3 linked regions of the Drosophila melanogaster genome follow. Changing the gene in region 1 together with any one later gene gives a genetic interaction. Each region holds a gene or a part of one and is shown on either strand. Other genes may lie near its edges.

Evidence for each region. Genes that interact genetically often act in the same process or in processes that back each other up.
Region 2: of lap (region 1) and cnc, changing one enhances a phenotype caused by changing the other (phenotypic enhancement), as found in Drosophila melanogaster (one study listed by BioGRID).
Region 3: of lap (region 1) and jing, changing one enhances a phenotype caused by changing the other (phenotypic enhancement), as found in Drosophila melanogaster (one study listed by BioGRID).

The regions. Positions count from the first base shown.
Region 1 is NT_033777.3:7,185,025-7,190,399, forward strand, and holds the start of lap (like-AP180), read left to right. Parts: upstream 1-1,969; 5' UTR 1,970-2,387; coding exon 2,388-2,523; intron 2,524-5,099; coding exon 5,100-5,242; intron 5,243-5,375. Other genes in the region: CG10055 (uncharacterized protein), read right to left, coding at 1-733, 790-1,186, 1,282-1,547. UniProt on the Drosophila melanogaster protein: Assembly protein recruiting clathrin and adaptor protein complex 2 (AP2) to cell membranes at sites of coated-pit formation and clathrin-vesicle assembly.
Region 2 is NT_033777.3:23,218,785-23,224,401, forward strand, and holds the start of cnc (cap-n-collar), read right to left. Parts: upstream 3,178-5,617; 5' UTR 3,062-3,177; exon of another isoform or gene 2,978-3,061; intron 2,113-2,977; exon of another isoform or gene 1,860-2,112; 5' UTR 1,633-1,859; intron 466-1,632; 5' UTR 124-465; coding exon 1-123. UniProt on the Drosophila melanogaster protein: Plays a role in posterior cephalic patterning. Probable subunit of a heterodimeric regulatory protein involved in the control of head morphogenesis.
Region 3 is NT_033778.4:6,499,814-6,505,182, forward strand, and holds the start of jing (jing), read left to right. Parts: upstream 1-2,192; 5' UTR 2,193-3,225; coding exon 3,226-3,875; intron 3,876-5,369.

The DNA.
Region 1 (5,375 bases):
CCAAGTGTTGCTTGTTTACGTCCATCAGCACGTTCTTAAGGTTGCGGGCAAGAAGGCGCATGTGCTCATCACTGCAGGCGCTCGGGCTGGTCACATATCGTATATAGTCCTCCAAATAGTAGTTGTTGAAGCTATCGCGACTGGGATCACTGCTGGCGAACTGCTGGTGCGTTAGCAGCAGCTGATTAATTAACCAGTTGCGACCGCCCTTTAAAACTTCTATGGCATCCCGTACACATTGGCGGCCCAACTCGAAATTGCGGTACAGCGGGTAGGTGATCATTCGCCGCAGGAAGGCAACCAGTACGTCCCGATAGTTGTCGAATTGCTCAAAGTAGCAATAAAGCGGGCACAGTATGCTTCGCGTCCAGCCCGATTCACACGTCGGCTCATTGTTCGTCGTCCGCACATCATAGCATATGGCCAACAGAATGCTTATCAGCCCGCAATCGATCTCGTTTTGCCGAAAAACGTCGCACGGCTGCTGCTCCCGTGTCTGCATTCGGCTGATGTTGTGCAGCAGATGCGCTTGCTCCTGGGTCATGGAAGTCTCGTAGATTTTCGGTTTGTAGCGTAAAGGATTCTGGTGACCGGACGGAACCTGTAGCTCCACAAAATTTATTTTGTACTGCTCGCGGGAAAAGCGCTTCATCTCATCGACCACGCGCTCTTGCCGCCTTTGGATGGGGCTCATGCGATGTGGCTCCGACACGCGGCACGTGGCTCTGTCCAACTGTGAAAACATCTGTGTTTAGTGCGCGGAAGAGCAGGTTAACCAATTGAACTCACCTCACTCAGGTCTAGCGGTCCGCTGTATTCGCTAGCATAGCCGTACCCAAAATTGTTGGTCAGCTTGTAGGTGCGCTCGTGGTCGTCGAGCTGCAATTGGCACTGATCGGTGATTCGTTTGAGTTTCCATTCCTGCACCAGAGGCTGCTTGTCCGGCAAATTGGCACTCAGTGTGGGTAGGTGCAGGAATGCGGCTATGTACTCTTTGCGACTATTCCACTGCTTGGCTGCATCCCCCGTACCACCGCCTCCGCCTCTTTCTCCACCGGGTCCTTCCTGGGCACCCGCTGTTAGGGGCAGACAGCGCAGGCAAATTTGGTAGTGATTCTCTGTCGTGTTGAACTTTATCAACAGCGTCTTCAGCTCTCGCAAGTCGAAGGTGCGACGGCTGTGGAATCTGTCCGAAAAGGGAGTACAAGTACGCAATGATATCGCTGGAATTTCGCCACCATGGCCCACCATGGGCACGACAGATTGCCGGATGTGACTCACTTGTACAGCTTAACATCTGCGTAGAAATAAAGATCGTGCGCGTCAACGAATATATCGCAGTTTCTTATGCGATCCACATGCAACGCCTCCGCTTCCGCCAACCCCGACCCCGCTTCCTGACCAAACTCCTCACCAGCGGAAGAAGAAGCAGCAGCAGCTGCTGCTGGCTGGGCCGACTTTGAGGACTGATTCAGGACAGGCGGGCGGGGTATGATCAGCGTGCACGAGTTCTCCAAATAACTGTGTGCAATCTGTCCATTCAACATCTTACAATTTTATTACGAGACTGTTGATTGTGCTAACTACTGTTTTTTAGTATAATTTTATTTATTTTAATGACCAGTATGACCGCCTACTCGAAACTAAAAATTCCTGTTGACAGCCCCTTAGCTTACGTTACGTTTGGCTACACTTCCGACAAATCTAGCTACTTTTTAACTGCTGTTGGGGAATTTTAAGTGCTAAGTTATAAAAAAAGATTTATTTATAGTATCTTAATATTTTATATTTTTATTTATTTATTTATCATTATTTTTTTTTATTTTCAGAACTTATATGAACACATCGTAAAAGCTAAGTTCAGCTATTTCGTATTCGCTTACGTTATGGCAATCGATATTTTCCCACCTAACGCCGTAAACTCAAGTCGATTGCACGCGTTAGCTCCACTTTGTGGACGCTTTAGGACATTGCTCATACGCTCGCTCCATTTGCCAGTCGCCATTATCGATTTGTGGCAGAGGAAAAATAGAGAATTAAAAAATCGCGTTTCAGCGTTAGGCACCGGTTAGAGAGCGCATAAACCGCGGCGATAAATTGTGTAGTGATTGTGACGTAGGAACCACTAAATCTTTACTGTTAGTTTAATCGTGAGGCTCGCATAGCAGAGTTTTCCCGTTCGAAATATTCTCAATCAATCAATACCTCTCTGTCTCTCGCTCGCCCCATACGCGTGTGTGTGTGTGTCTCTCTCTCCCTCTCTCTGTATCTGCTTTCGAGTGTGTGTGTGTGTCGGTGTGGTCAGCTCCTTTGGTGCATAATTAAATTAATCAAGTAAATAAAAACCAGCGAGCGGCAGCAGAAACAACAACAGCAACAGCTTCATCATGACCATGGCAGGGCAAACGATCAACGACAGGCTGCTGGCCGCCCGTCACAGCCTTGCGGGCCAAGGACTCGCCAAGTCCGTTTGCAAGGCCACCACGGAGGAATGCATTGGCCCGAAGAAGAAGCACTTGGACTGTGAGTTGCCCTGTCTATCTCTTTCCCTTGCCCACTCTCTTGGTCTTTCATTGCGTAAATCACCGTTACATTTCCTTGTTATAACACAGAGAGAAAAGAGGCACAGCCTTGTGCTACTAGTGGAAATGTACCCATCAAACACACGAAAATATTATTGTTACTTTGTAACGCTTTAAAATTAATTTATTTTTATTTGCAAACATAAGTCGCAATAAAATCTGTTTAGAAATTAACTTAAATTTTAATAATAATAAAAATTGGAATGAATAATATACTAAAGTAAGGAGTGCCTAACAAATTAGCAAAGAAAATAAAAAATTTAAATGTAGCCTAAATATAAAAACCATCGGCACAGTTAGTACGCTGCAAAAGTAATTTAGCAACAACATTCAGATGCAACCAGTTCGGGTTTCTTGGCTTCCTCGCTCCATTTTCACGTGCCTTTTGTTTTTGTGCGATAAATCACAAAGTTTTCTGAAAACGAAACCACTGATTACGGTCCACAAAGTCCCACAAACACAAACCACCACCCTCAAATTGCATCTGTGGCTCAGCTGCTGGTGTTTGTGGACTCCGTTCGTCATTGATTGGACTCCCCTCTCTTTCTACCAACACACTCTCTCTCTCTCTCTAATGTTACGTCACTTTCCCACGGGTGCACGTGTGTTTGTAGGGGCTTTGAATGGCTTAAAACGCCTACGAAAGCAGGGATTGTGTTTGTCACGGTGTCATTGCTTGTTAAATTTATGCAAGAGTCTTCCCTAATTTGCTGGATTTGCTTACACGTTTGAATTTTGCAAATACTTCTAAAGAGCTCCATATCCTAACGACATTCATTCCCGTTGGAATCTGTTTTTTTGGCTAGTTTTGCTCGCATTTTGACCCCCTTTTATTTAGCTTGTTGGCACTTTTCAGATGACTCATCAGATATGGCTACGAGTAAATGGGAATAAAAGAGGGCAATATTGTGGGGCGTTACTTGTCACATAAACATTGTATTGCAGTTGCCGCAAACCAATTTCCAATATAACCCAAAATTTGGCCACATGTGCTGTTTATTCAAGTTGATTACTTTATCCAAAACGTTATGCTCAATTCAGTTACCAAAAGTCTAAATAAATTAAACCTGAGTTAAAAGTCAGTCCGTACATTTTACAAGACGTCAGCAGGTAGCATGAAATATATTTCTTCTACCTATTTTCTCTATTTTCTTTTGTTAACAACTTTTGTCCTATGATAAAACCAGTTGTGTGTTCACGGAAACAACAGCACTTAATGAGCTTTACACCGATTGAAAAGATCCCAGAATATTTCAACCAGCTACACAAGTGGGCAATAATAATTAAAATTAAGTATCAATGGTCCCCCACTACAGTGGAGTCTCGATACCCGACACATTTATTTATTTATGTATTTAAGAGCATAAGCATGCGAATTGACCCCAGCGATAACTACGCTACAGAAGTCGCCAATCGCTTTTGGTATCCGAGCACTGTAAATATTTTCGAAATATATGTGAATCAGTGAAGATTTCAAAAAGGGCGGATACGAATTTTAACTAAATAACTCATTCAAAATGTCTTAACTACTCAGCGATTTCAACGTTTTGTCATAAAGTGACACCCCCAGGCCACTGTGCTCGTTAAGAAACTCACCAGTTTCGTTTACAAGGACCGATCAATTTTCCACATTTACTGTTTATTGAAATTTGTTCTTATTTATGTATAAATGAATCACTGGCCTGGCGCCCGTCAGCCAAACAAAATGAAGCAAAAGGACGGCGAACATCTGCGATGGCTTGTGAAATGTGCAACGCCCCTCGAATCCCATGCAATTTTTTCTTGCTCGGCGACAAACACTTTCCAACCGAAATGGGAATTGATTCAAATGGAAGCGCATGATAGTAGACACAATGGGATTCAGCTCTTATCATCGACACTTTTCCGTCAGTATTTAGCTTGAATGGCGGCTGCAAGCTTAAAGCGCAGATAAGCAAACAACGACTAAGAGTCGCGACCGATAACGGGACGCAAAAAACAAGATGATTAAATTTATGGGAGGTTCGGTTATTATAATAATAATAATCTTTACAGAAACGTTGTTTGTTTCTGGAACAGATAAATTGACTTTTAAAGTTTTATGTTGCTTCTTAAACATGTAAACATTTGTTGTTTTGCTCATATGAACTAAGTTTTCGTAAAAAAAATATACTGTTGAATAAATCTAGAGGATAATAACTAATAGTTGTCGGCGGTTATATCGAATCTGATTGATTTTTCCAATAAATGCTTGGGAAAATAAATATCAAGTCAAAGTTAATCGCAACCAAAAGTAAAGTTGAGTTGGACGTACAAAATTAAGGAAAAGAGCAAATGGTTCACTAACCGAAAATTACAAAAAAAAAAAACGTTCTTTATTGTTTTCTAATCTACTGTATGGATATGCGTTAAGAAACTAATATAAAGCTATGCTTAATAAAATGATTTTCATTTATTATTTTAAATCAATGTAAAATGTTAAATTAGTTTGTGGTTGCTTTGTGTTAATATAAGTTTCATACCTTTATTTAATTGCAGATTTGGTGCACTGCACAAACGAGCCGAATGTGTCGATACCTCATCTGGCCAATTTACTTATCGAGCGTTCACAGAATGCCAACTGGGTCGTCGTCTACAAGTCGCTGATAACCACACATCATCTGATGGCATATGGCAATGAGGTTTGTATTTGTGTATTTATCGGAATCTAGTGTTTGTGCGAAGCTTAGGGGCGTATTTCAAATACATTTTTACTTTCATTTAAGCGTTCGAAATGAGGTAATCTATTTTGTTTGATTTAATATACAGATGAAT
Region 2 (5,617 bases), about 16 Mb from region 1:
GGTGCCCAATTCCAGCTGCGAGTCCCAGCGATGGAGCAGGTAATCGGGATTATAATGCAGCAGACTCAAGGCCAAAGCCAGCTGCAGCATTTTCATAGCGTACGATTTTTTGTTTGAGATCATTTTGTTGCTTTCAGAGGTTTCGATACGTGAGCGAATGGGTGCGTGGGTGACTCTTGTAGTCCGTAGTCCACCTCCGCCCGCCGCCTCCTCCTCCTCCTCCTCCTCCTCCGCTGCTGTTGTTCTTGTTGTTCTCCGTCCCGGACAACAGCTCTACGGCTGCGTCGTCCGGGATCTATGCGTTCAATGACGTCGCCTTGCCCCGCCTTCCGGCCTCCTCCTCCTCCTCCTCCTTCGGCGTTCCGAAATCTGCGCAAAAAGCTGAAAATTCGCAGTTTCCACGGCCTATCTCCCCGATTTTCCAATGCTCTTTGCTTTTAATTGATGGCTGTCCTCGGTTTTGTTCTGTAAGCAAATCAAGATGTGACAACAAATAGAATGGAATTAGTAAGCATAACGATTTGCTAACTATATGTACATATGCAAGTATGTAGATATGTAGTGTAATATTCATACATTGCCGCATGGCCATATATGCAGTTTGAATGTTAAATGAAAATGCTTTTGTTTCGAGTGGTGCAGCCTTTGTTTTGTTTGCCAGTCGATTTTATAAATTGCTAAGCACGAGGAAGTGCACCAAAGAAAGTTCAACTTCCGGGTCGGTAACGTCTTTTATTAAAAACACATCTAATTTCCACATCGCGATTATATTAGGATTCATATTTATTTAGCAAAAACGAACACAATTATGTTTTTCTGTTCGCAATTATGTAGTTAAGGTACATAAGTAATACTTTCGAGAGATATTAAAATAAATGAAAGATTGTCGTAAGGAAACATCCCTTATCTCTATTATTTAAACTTGAAATTATAAATGTGCAGAAACACTAACAAGGTTTTGCTACAGAAACACAACACATAGTTTGTTTTCATACCAAACCAAAGTGGATAGCCTAGAAAGGCTGTTATGATGATGACCTAGCGCATTTCAGCATAGTTAATTTCATATTCAGAGACAATTAAGCAGGTCAAGAATCGAATTTTCCGAAATATGTGTGTATAATACATAAATACATATATGCATGTATCCTTCTTTGGTTGTTGTTTTGTCCGAATTCTGTTTGATATCCACAACGCATTTAATATGCCCATCCTGTCCAGCCACACACACACCCCCCCCCCCCTTAAACAAGGTTAACAGACAACCGCCCACCCGAAAAAGGGGGGCGTGAGGCGGAAGGAATGACCCAGACCCAGACGAAATGGCTTTGAACTTGAACTTGTTCAAGGTCTCTCGCGAGCATTTGAAATGTGCGCAATGCGAAGTGAAGCACCCGATTCAAGGACGGACGAAAAAATTGTGTGCAAAATTCTTTCAAGGTTCGATATAAACTTTCTTTGTTTAAAGCCATTTTAACAAAAATCCAAACTTTATTTGGCTCAATTCTCAATGAAAAGATGTGCGCGAGAGAGAGAAAGAGAGGGGTAGGGAAATGACGTGTGCATGTGCGTGCAAGAGAGGGTTCTTGTGTGGGTGTGCGTGTGATTGTGGCTGTATTGCAGTGCACTCACCTCAAATTTTTTTTGGATGATGAGACCCGACTACAACGGTAAAAAAGCTGCGGCGCAGTAAATGTTCTCCTTGTTGTTGTTGCCGTTGCTTGATCTTCTTTTCCTCTTCGCTGCTTCTTCTTCCCTGCAGCACACACAATGGTTTATTGTTTACCGTTCACTTTTCTTTTGCTCTGCAAGACCTTATTTGTTTATGTTTCACTTTCTACGATTTTTACTTTTAATTGCTGGAAAACACGCGTTTTATTTATTTAACAACTTTAAATATATATTTCGCTTGTCTGCGTCCTTGAACTTTCTCTTCTGCAGACAATTTGCATTCAAGTGCCATTAAATATTAATAACAATTGATATTTGATTATGTGCCACCTGGTGCTTCTTTCTCGCCGTCTGGTACGCACTTTTGTGTGAGAGTGTGTGTGGTGGTGGTGCCGTTTTACGTGGTGAAATCGTCACTTATTTGTTAACCCTATATTGGACCTACGTCAAATTAGAATTTGAAGTCATTTGTATGTTAAGATTTTCAAGACAGCTGTAAAATTATTTAACTACGTTAAGGTACAAAAAATTGTCAAGTCCATCAAGGGTTAAAACAATAATATTTTCGCTTCGTTTGTTGTTTTTACACTGCCTAATATTTGCATGTGTTTTGCCTCCACATTGCTTTGTATTTCTTTGTTTTCTTTTATCGCCCGATTCTCGTCTCTCTCTGACTCACACACCAAAAAAAAAGACACGCACACGTTGAAGCATACAACTGCTGTTTTTTCTTGCCAATTCCAATTCGGTCTGTGCCCACAATTAATGCAATTAATTAAATGCAAAACGATTTAATTTTTTGCTGAGAATCGCGGAGAGCAAAACAAATAGGAAAAATGAAATATGGAAGCTTCGAGAATGAGCAGAGAATAACCGGCAACGGCAGCATTTCAACATTCACTCTGCACTTTGCATCAACAAATTATTTATCAAATTGCTAGTTCCTTTTCGTTCCCTATTCTTTCTAACTCGATGTTTTTCTCGATTGCATTCTGTCAGCTGAGCGGTGGAGAGGGAGCGAGAGAGGGAGACTGAGCGCGAGAGCGAGAGGGGGCGATTGCTGAATAACTGTTGTTGCTAGCCTGTTGGTCGTTGTTGTTTTGATTGCCTTTAACCCACCACCCCCACCGACAGTACCACCACCACACAATGAGTTGCACTTATTTAGTGGGGCATGCAACATTTCGCAACTGTAGTTCTTAAACGCACAACCGAAACTTTTTCATTTGTTGTTCCGGCACACAAGCACACGCAGCCAGACACGCACACACACACACACACAATTTAAGCGGCGTGTACTTCGCACCTTTACGCGTCTTCTTTCACTGTTATTTGGCAAATTATTGTCGCGTCCGCTTTGCTACTCTCTTTCGCCAACCGCCGTACCTACGTGGTGAGCTTGAAAACGTGTTTTGTTTGTTACGCCGCGTTTGGCAATTTCTCCGCCGTCGAAATCAGTCGCGATTTTCGATTGCGGCCTCAAAACATTTGAGGCAAAAAACGTCTGTCCAGCGCGGTGCTTTTATCAAGTGTGCCCAGTTGAGGCTCTTTGCAGACGATTTTGTTGAGTTTTGTGCTTTTGCGGTTTTTTTCGGGGCCGCCAAGTGCGGTCTCACCATAATACATTGTGCTTTTAACAGAAATGTTAAATGTAGCTTAAACTAACAGTGACAGAAAGAGCTTTTTAAAGGAGAGCTAGAAATGTAGATTTCGGTTACAAATGTATCTTTATTACCTACCTTTTATTTCTAGATTTAGTTTTTAGAAAGAATATCTTAAGAATATAAAGAACATATTTATATTTTCCCTAAGAGTAACTTATGTAGACATGGTGGCTATTGCAATTTTATGTAGATATGGTGTAAGCTTATAAGCTTTTGACACGTGTCCATGCAAATTTTTCAGTTAATTTGCATTAGTCATTTTTTTAACTAGTTCTACATAACAAAGTTGAAATTTGTATTAAAATTAAAAATAAAGGGATATATATAGTTTTATATTTCCTTAATATTAATTTAAAATAATTTTTTTTCATGATATTGATATTGATATTCTACATGCATGCAAAAATACAAATATCTTAACAATAACTTCCGTTAGCTATTGATATCACAAATGGATACATTTGTATTAGACTTGCTCAATAAAACAGATAGCCACACTATTCAGAACGTGTAATTCAAAATATAGCTAGAAGACTATCAATCTATCTAAAAGACCTGCTCATAAAAATTAATTTAGATTGATGGGGGTAATTTATAGATATATTGCGTTCTGAACTGGGAACATTTGTGCTGGCATTTGGATAAAGTAATTAACACCGAAGCCTTTCAATACTTACCAGATTGGTAAAATGGAAGCCACCTTTCCAAATGTTGGTCTTGGCGTTACCTGGCGTCGTCGATTGGGTGATGGATGGCGTTGGCTTGGCCAGTACAGCGGGCGTGGAAGCCACCGTGGGCTTAATCAGCTTACTCAACTTCGAGGGTGGTCCAATGGGCACCCGGACGGTGACCTTCTTCTTCGGATTCAGCTGCAATTGGGTCTGGTGGTAGGTATATTCGATGTCCTTCGCCGGGGACAAGGATTGCAGCCGAGGCAGATCCTCTAAGTCGATCATTATTGCTTATCAGCTGGCACAAATGGTGATGAGTCAATATGTCAACTGGAATGAAAGCGAACACACAGATAAGGATGGGTCACTAGGTTGACTAGGCTTTTTTTTAGGATGGTGGTTTTGAACTTAATAATTCTGTTCCGACATTAAATATAAACAGTTTGTTTTCGGCGTATAAGAAAATGTGTTTTTACTCATTTTGATCAATGTGACAGATCAAAGATATAATAAATTCATATATATTTTAGTAGCCATACTCGTGTGATTTTATTTTTAATTTCTTCGAATTCCCTGCTAGTAACTTTATCGAACTTTCACTGTAAATGAGCTATAAAAACTGATAAGCGAACTTCGACGGGTGGAATTCAAAAATGAGATATAGCCAACCTAATGGTTTGTTTTATTTGCCATTTATTGAGAAAATTACACACATTCACACAAATTCAAATGTAGATAAGTACAGTGGATGCCCAACAACAATATCAACTCCCACGAGAATCCAGAAAGATAACCGCGTGGAAACGGCATTCATTATCTATCAATTGATTTGGGAACAAAGTATTAGGTATCAGTAACCATAGAGGGATTTCTCCATTGTACACAATACAGTGGGCCCTGCCTTGGAAGAATGCAAATTACATCAGCCAATGTTCCACAGGGGGAATTTTTCGATTAGATTGGGACAATAAATGAATCATAAAATAAATTAAATTGGTCGCACTTCTAAATTTTGGGAATCAGCCATGAGTCCCTGCTATAAATTTAATCGACAGGTTCTTTATAGAAATTGGTCAAAAGATTCGTACTTATTTGTTAATCTTTTCTTCTTTAACTATTAAAATCTATGGTGTTAGCAATTTTAAATGACATTTCTATTTATAAGAAATGTACTTAATTGTGTAGACTAATCAATATTATAATTTATTTGCTCTTTTTCATAACAGCTATCATTTTGACCTTTAACGGTCTGCTTCTCTATATGAGCATATTATCTATCTATTATCTATTCAAAACAAATACGTTTTTTATTGGGCCACCTAGAAGTTGGCAAACCATCAAATCGTATTTATTATTGTTTAAACAATACGCAGCTTAAGGGTATTATGGCTCAATTTAAGGAGTTCTGGGAATCCCATTACGACGCTTTGAATAATGCTCAAAGTAAACAATTCGAAAAAGCTGTGATCTTCGGTTTGTTGCTATGACTCAACCAAATGTGCGAAAAAAATCAACAATTACAATGGCAAGTAAAAAACAATTGAAGTCGAATACAATTCGACGGCTCAGAGCACTAACTTTTTTGAAGATGAGATACTGAAAGATACTGAA
Region 3 (5,369 bases), on another chromosome or scaffold:
AATAAAAAGGTAAAAAATACACCCTGAGACATAAAAAGTATATAAAGAAATATGTTGTTATGCTTTAAAAAGTTTCTCCACATTTTATGGTGAGCACATAGTGTTAAACGATATGGAAAAATAAATTAAGATCAATAAATTAAAAATGAAAAATATGTAATCAAATTTTTCTTTTTCTTGTTTGATCAATCCATGCAGCTAAACATTTTAAATAAATAAGCTTTTTAAATGCCTTTTCAAACGTGCGGAAAACCTTTTTTAAAGTCGTATTAATACACATTAAATTGGAGTCGAACGGAAAATATTTAGCATGGAGTTGATGTGAAAAATTTATTTAACATAAAGGTTTCTGTCTTCGTTTATGCGTTCGGAAGTTTTAGATATGTGATTATTTATGAGTCTATTTTTTTATCGTAATTAAACTGACTTTGCGTTGGTTAACCAATTTTCCCGTTGATGGTCAAGGAACATCATGCAGTTCGCTATCAATTTTAAACTGGTTTGATTCCTTACTTAGTTTACATGCCCACTTATGTAATTTTGGAATTATCTATAAAAATACTGAAAAGGCATAACTGTTTATTTGGACGTAATCGCTGACAAAAGCTGTATGCTGTGGCAATCTGAGCTTTACACTGAGAGCATTTAAAAGACCCATAATTTTTTTTTAATTGTGATGGGCTCCAGTATAATTGCCAGCTTAGATATTTTATTGAGGAAATGTTTGATTATATTTTATTTTTATATTTAATAATTTAATTTAATATTATCTACACATATGTATATGCATCTACAAAAATATTCAGCGAAGTATGAATGCAGCATTATGGTTGTTTTTCTCTCAATTGTCTCAATCCTATTTTCACTCTCTCTCTCCGTTTGCTGCAGTTTAATAGCTTTCCGGAAAATGCAGCGCAAAATGCGAACGCAAGCTTATAAACTTATTTAACTTGTCACTCTTACGCAGTGTATTTTTGCATTTACAATGGTTGAGTGAGCTATTTTTTGCAGAGCTTTTGTGAGCTAAAACATTTTGATTGTATTAGATGCATTCCTCGGAAATGAATTCATTCACTTAATTAAAGTGATCCCAAGTATGTGCAGTGTAAAACGTTCAATAGGAACAAACATTTTATTGGTAGAGTAAAACTGGACACCAAACGAGTTTTGTCGCACTCGCACACACCCGCAAAATTCTCGCGTAAACATGTCTTCTTTGTCCCTCCTGTTTTTGCAGTCTCCCTCAGTTGCATCGCACAGACGTACGTACCATTGCTTGTAGCGTAATAAAAGCACGTGTTGTGTTTGATTCCTCGCTCCCTCCCTTTCTTTGGTCTTTAAAAACAGTTGCGACTTTAGATTGTGTTTGTGAGAGAGCTGGTCTGGCTGCCTTGCTGTTTTGTTATTGTTTGGTTTTTGCCATAACTTTGTTTACTTTTATCTTTTTTTATACAAGACTCGTGTTTTTTTTGTTTTTGTTCTTGACTTTTTTGGCCTTATTAAGTGTGGGCCAAAACAGATACATATAGCCAAGGTATTGGTTATGGGTGCATATTCTCCACACATCTGTATTTAGCTTCAAATTCGAGCTCAAGTTCCCATATAACCATGCTCGCTTGGATGAACCGGTTTTGAGTTTTATCGAACCGCAGGAACCTCTTGTATTCTGATTAGTTCCCACACATATCAACAGGTAGCTGCAGCTTGGGTCGCTTGTGTGTGAGCGAACTTGCCACCGCGGACACATCGGAAGTTGCTGCCCATCTAGCCAGCCGCCAAATGCTGAAATTCAAATACGGAATCTCTGAACTTCCCCAGAAGTTCAAATGCACACACTCACACACACAGAAAGAACTCACATTGTAGCGCAACAAGCTCCCCACGCGACCCTCTCTCTTGGTCCCGCTCTCGAAAACCTGCTGCCGCTGCACAGAAATCAAAAGTGAACACACTGCACGCGGCCCTTTCTTCTCCTCTTCACCCTCAGCTCGTCGGAGAGCCCCTATTAAAACGAACGGCAGTTCGTTGCCTTCGTTCTTGCTTCGCGTGCTTCGTATCTTGATTTGTGCCCGGTTCTAGTTGGCTAAGCCATTCGGCTGGCACTCGGTCCGCCGCCTCGCTTCTCGTCGGCTACCTCTTCGGGTGGGGCCGCAGCGCTCGGTCCACTCCCACTCCACTTGGCCCCACTCGTCAGTCAGTCGGCAGGCAGAGCAAGAGCAGCCCGCAGCTTTTTCGTGGGGAGATCGCAGTTTTTCGCTTGCCAATCGATGGCGTTTCGGAATTCTTAGCTTGCAGTGCAGCGCTTCTTAGACTTTGTTTAATTTGGTTATACTGCAATTGGCGGCTATTAAGAGCAGTGACCACTACATTAATTATGAATGGTACGCGCGGCAGACAAGTTGGCCCCGCGATAAGTAAATCGCTAGTTTGCTGAGGCACATTGGAATGCATTTGATTAGATTGCGATGTGTTTGTTCGCCCGTCATTGTTGTCAATAAACAAAAGCTGGCTCGCAGTCACAGCGACTAGGAGGTTAACCTGACTTACCCGTTTCGGTTTTGAATTCGGTTTCATTGTCGCTTTCTTGAACTTGCGAGCACCGCGTGGCCAATCTTGCAGAATGAATTTCGGGTGTGCACCGGAAACAACCGACAGTGAAATAACTACTGGCCATTCACAAATCCATAAAGCACAGTGTAACACTTTGTAACGGATCGCAAATCCAACCACCCCACGCAAATCAAAACCGAACCCGCGACGTCGATTAATTTTATGATGATCAAGTAGTTTCTCGTTGAAATATCAATCGAATTGAAAAATGTGTGTCATAAGTGCAGAAGTGAAGTGCAGCTTAATGCCAAAAGTCATACAAGTGCAATTGATTTAAATGAATTTTTGTTTAATTTGTATAAATATTTTTACTTCTCGTAACTCGATAGTCCGACCCACGAAAGTCGTAAAATGCAAGTTCATGGCGATATATATATACCAATTTGTGCAAACTGATGGGGAAAATCGGAATGGTAACACCATTTAAGGGCAGTGCGGCTAAAAATTGCTGACGAGCAACTTTCAGATTAATGCAATTCAAATTGGCTTTCCGTCGACTAACAATAAGCCGTTGGGAATAGCAGATGTGTGCTAAAGCAGATCCAGAGTTCTGGCAGCAGTTAACACCAATTAAAAGCGTCGTTATAGCAATAGTGCAGCAAACATAGAGGGAAAATGTCAGTCACTCAGCCAAAGGATACGGCATTAAAGACCAAGGAGTCGGCAGCTGAAGTAGCAGCCCCTCTGGCCCCACTCTCTGTCAAAACAGCAGGAGCAACGGGACGGAAAACTTTAACCTCCAGCGCGGCTTTGTCACTGTTTGATCAGCTGAAAAATAGCGTCAATACAAACAGTTTGACAATTGGCGCCGGCGTCGGCAACAACAGTAGCCCAGAAGCCACACCACCTATAACAGCACCAGCCAGTACAACCACCGCCTCCCCGATACTTACTCCCAAAAGCCCACCACCCACACCACCCATCAACAAAAGCCCGTCTCTGTCCTCCAATATTGAACTGAAGCCCCCGGCCAAACCCGCTCGGCCCTTTACCTCGCCCAGCACTATTGGAATCGTGCAGGGTACCAAACGGGGGGTGGGCGGAGTTTTTGGCGGGTTTGGAGCCCAAGCCGCCAAATTGGATATAAACGCATTGCGATCTCAGCTCTACCAGGGCGCCAGGAAGACTGCAACAACATCTCGAGTGGGAGTCGGCAAAACAACAACGGTGGCAACAGCCCCAAGAACAACTGGAGGAGAACGTGGCACAAAGGGGTCCAAGAAGAGATGTCTAGATCGGTACGACTCGTCGGAGTCATCAGACAGGTGAGTGCATGTCGTGGGCACACTACTGAAGTTTGGCATTTTGCAGCGATAGGGAAGTACGTTGCTCTTCGACAGTTCTAAATTCTAGTCGTAATTTGAGATTTTTTGAGGTTTATTTAAATGCAAAGGCAGGCACGATGGTCGTATCTAATTTATGAAATATATTGAAAACTTAAAATTTTTAAGGAACACAATAAGACTTATTTAACAATAATAAAAAATAAACTTTTTGCATAAACACCTTTAGTATACGCCATAAAGACATTCAATAGCAGCTTACCCCGTCCCCTTTTCATCGACGTATTTAATGGCATCATTAAGCGTCTTAACAATGCAAGCTGCCAAATGTATTTCTTAGATGCACTGCCTAACTATAAAGGGAAATGCAAAAGTGTATCTGCGAACCGGCTGGCTGTGCCAAGTCTGAGCCAAAGAAAATTCTCTAAATATACACGCGCGCTGTACTGCCAAAAAGTGATCCAAAAGTGTGATCCGTAAGACACAAATAGAATGCAGCCCATCCCAATCATGATAAACGTATGAACCAAATCTGCAATGCTCAGCGAGATCTGGAAAAAGCTAATAGCCGATTGAGCTGAATTTATCTGACAGGTAATCGTTCCGATAATTGTACAGAACAGCAAAGTGCCAGTCTTGTAAGGGGCCTACGAGGCACGTGCCTCATAGATTGCAAATTTATGGCTTACAGATACATTTGTATCTACTCAAATGGGCAGCCACAAAACCTCTTGCCGCAATGCCAACTAATTTCCGCTCATTAAAAATGCGCAGCACAGTAGAGGCAGCAGTGGAATGGAAACAAAGGAAGAGCAAAGGCCGCAACGAACTGCAGGCATTTGTATCTGGCAGATACGCACAACATGCGTTCATTTATCAGCCGCAAATGGCGGCTGATGCGCCGCAGTAGCAGAGCTGCTGATTTTCCATGCGGCGCGTGGGCGGTTGAGCAAACGAAAACAGCTTCCTGGCTGCATCGATGTAGATATAGATGCAGATACGAGTCCGAAACCGAAACCACCCCCTCGGGGAAATTAATCTTGAATATGGACGGTGCTCTCTGCCGATCTGCTGCACAATTGTCGATTATGTTTAAGTTATGTTTCGGTTTTCAGAAATGGTTCTGATTCCATACATATCTTCTAAACGCCAATGTGGCATTTGTGTCTGGTTTCGCAGCAGCATGTTTCAAATGTTTTGTGGGGAGCGTTTTGTCAATTGGCTTGGCCTTATCACCGTCCTCGTATCACCTCCCCAAGATCGCGTTCCCTCGTTGACTGGTGAGCGATTTCGGCGTTGCTTCTTTCTCTTCGTTGGCAGTCGGAAATCATTTAAACTTTTGGTCGTTGAACTCCTTTTGATTTATTTATTTTGTTTGTTTCTGTTTCTGTTTTTCTTCCCTTTTTGGTTTTTGTGTGTGTGTACTTTTTTGTCGCCGCCAAAAAGCACTGCATTTTGTTGTAGCTTTGTGTTTGG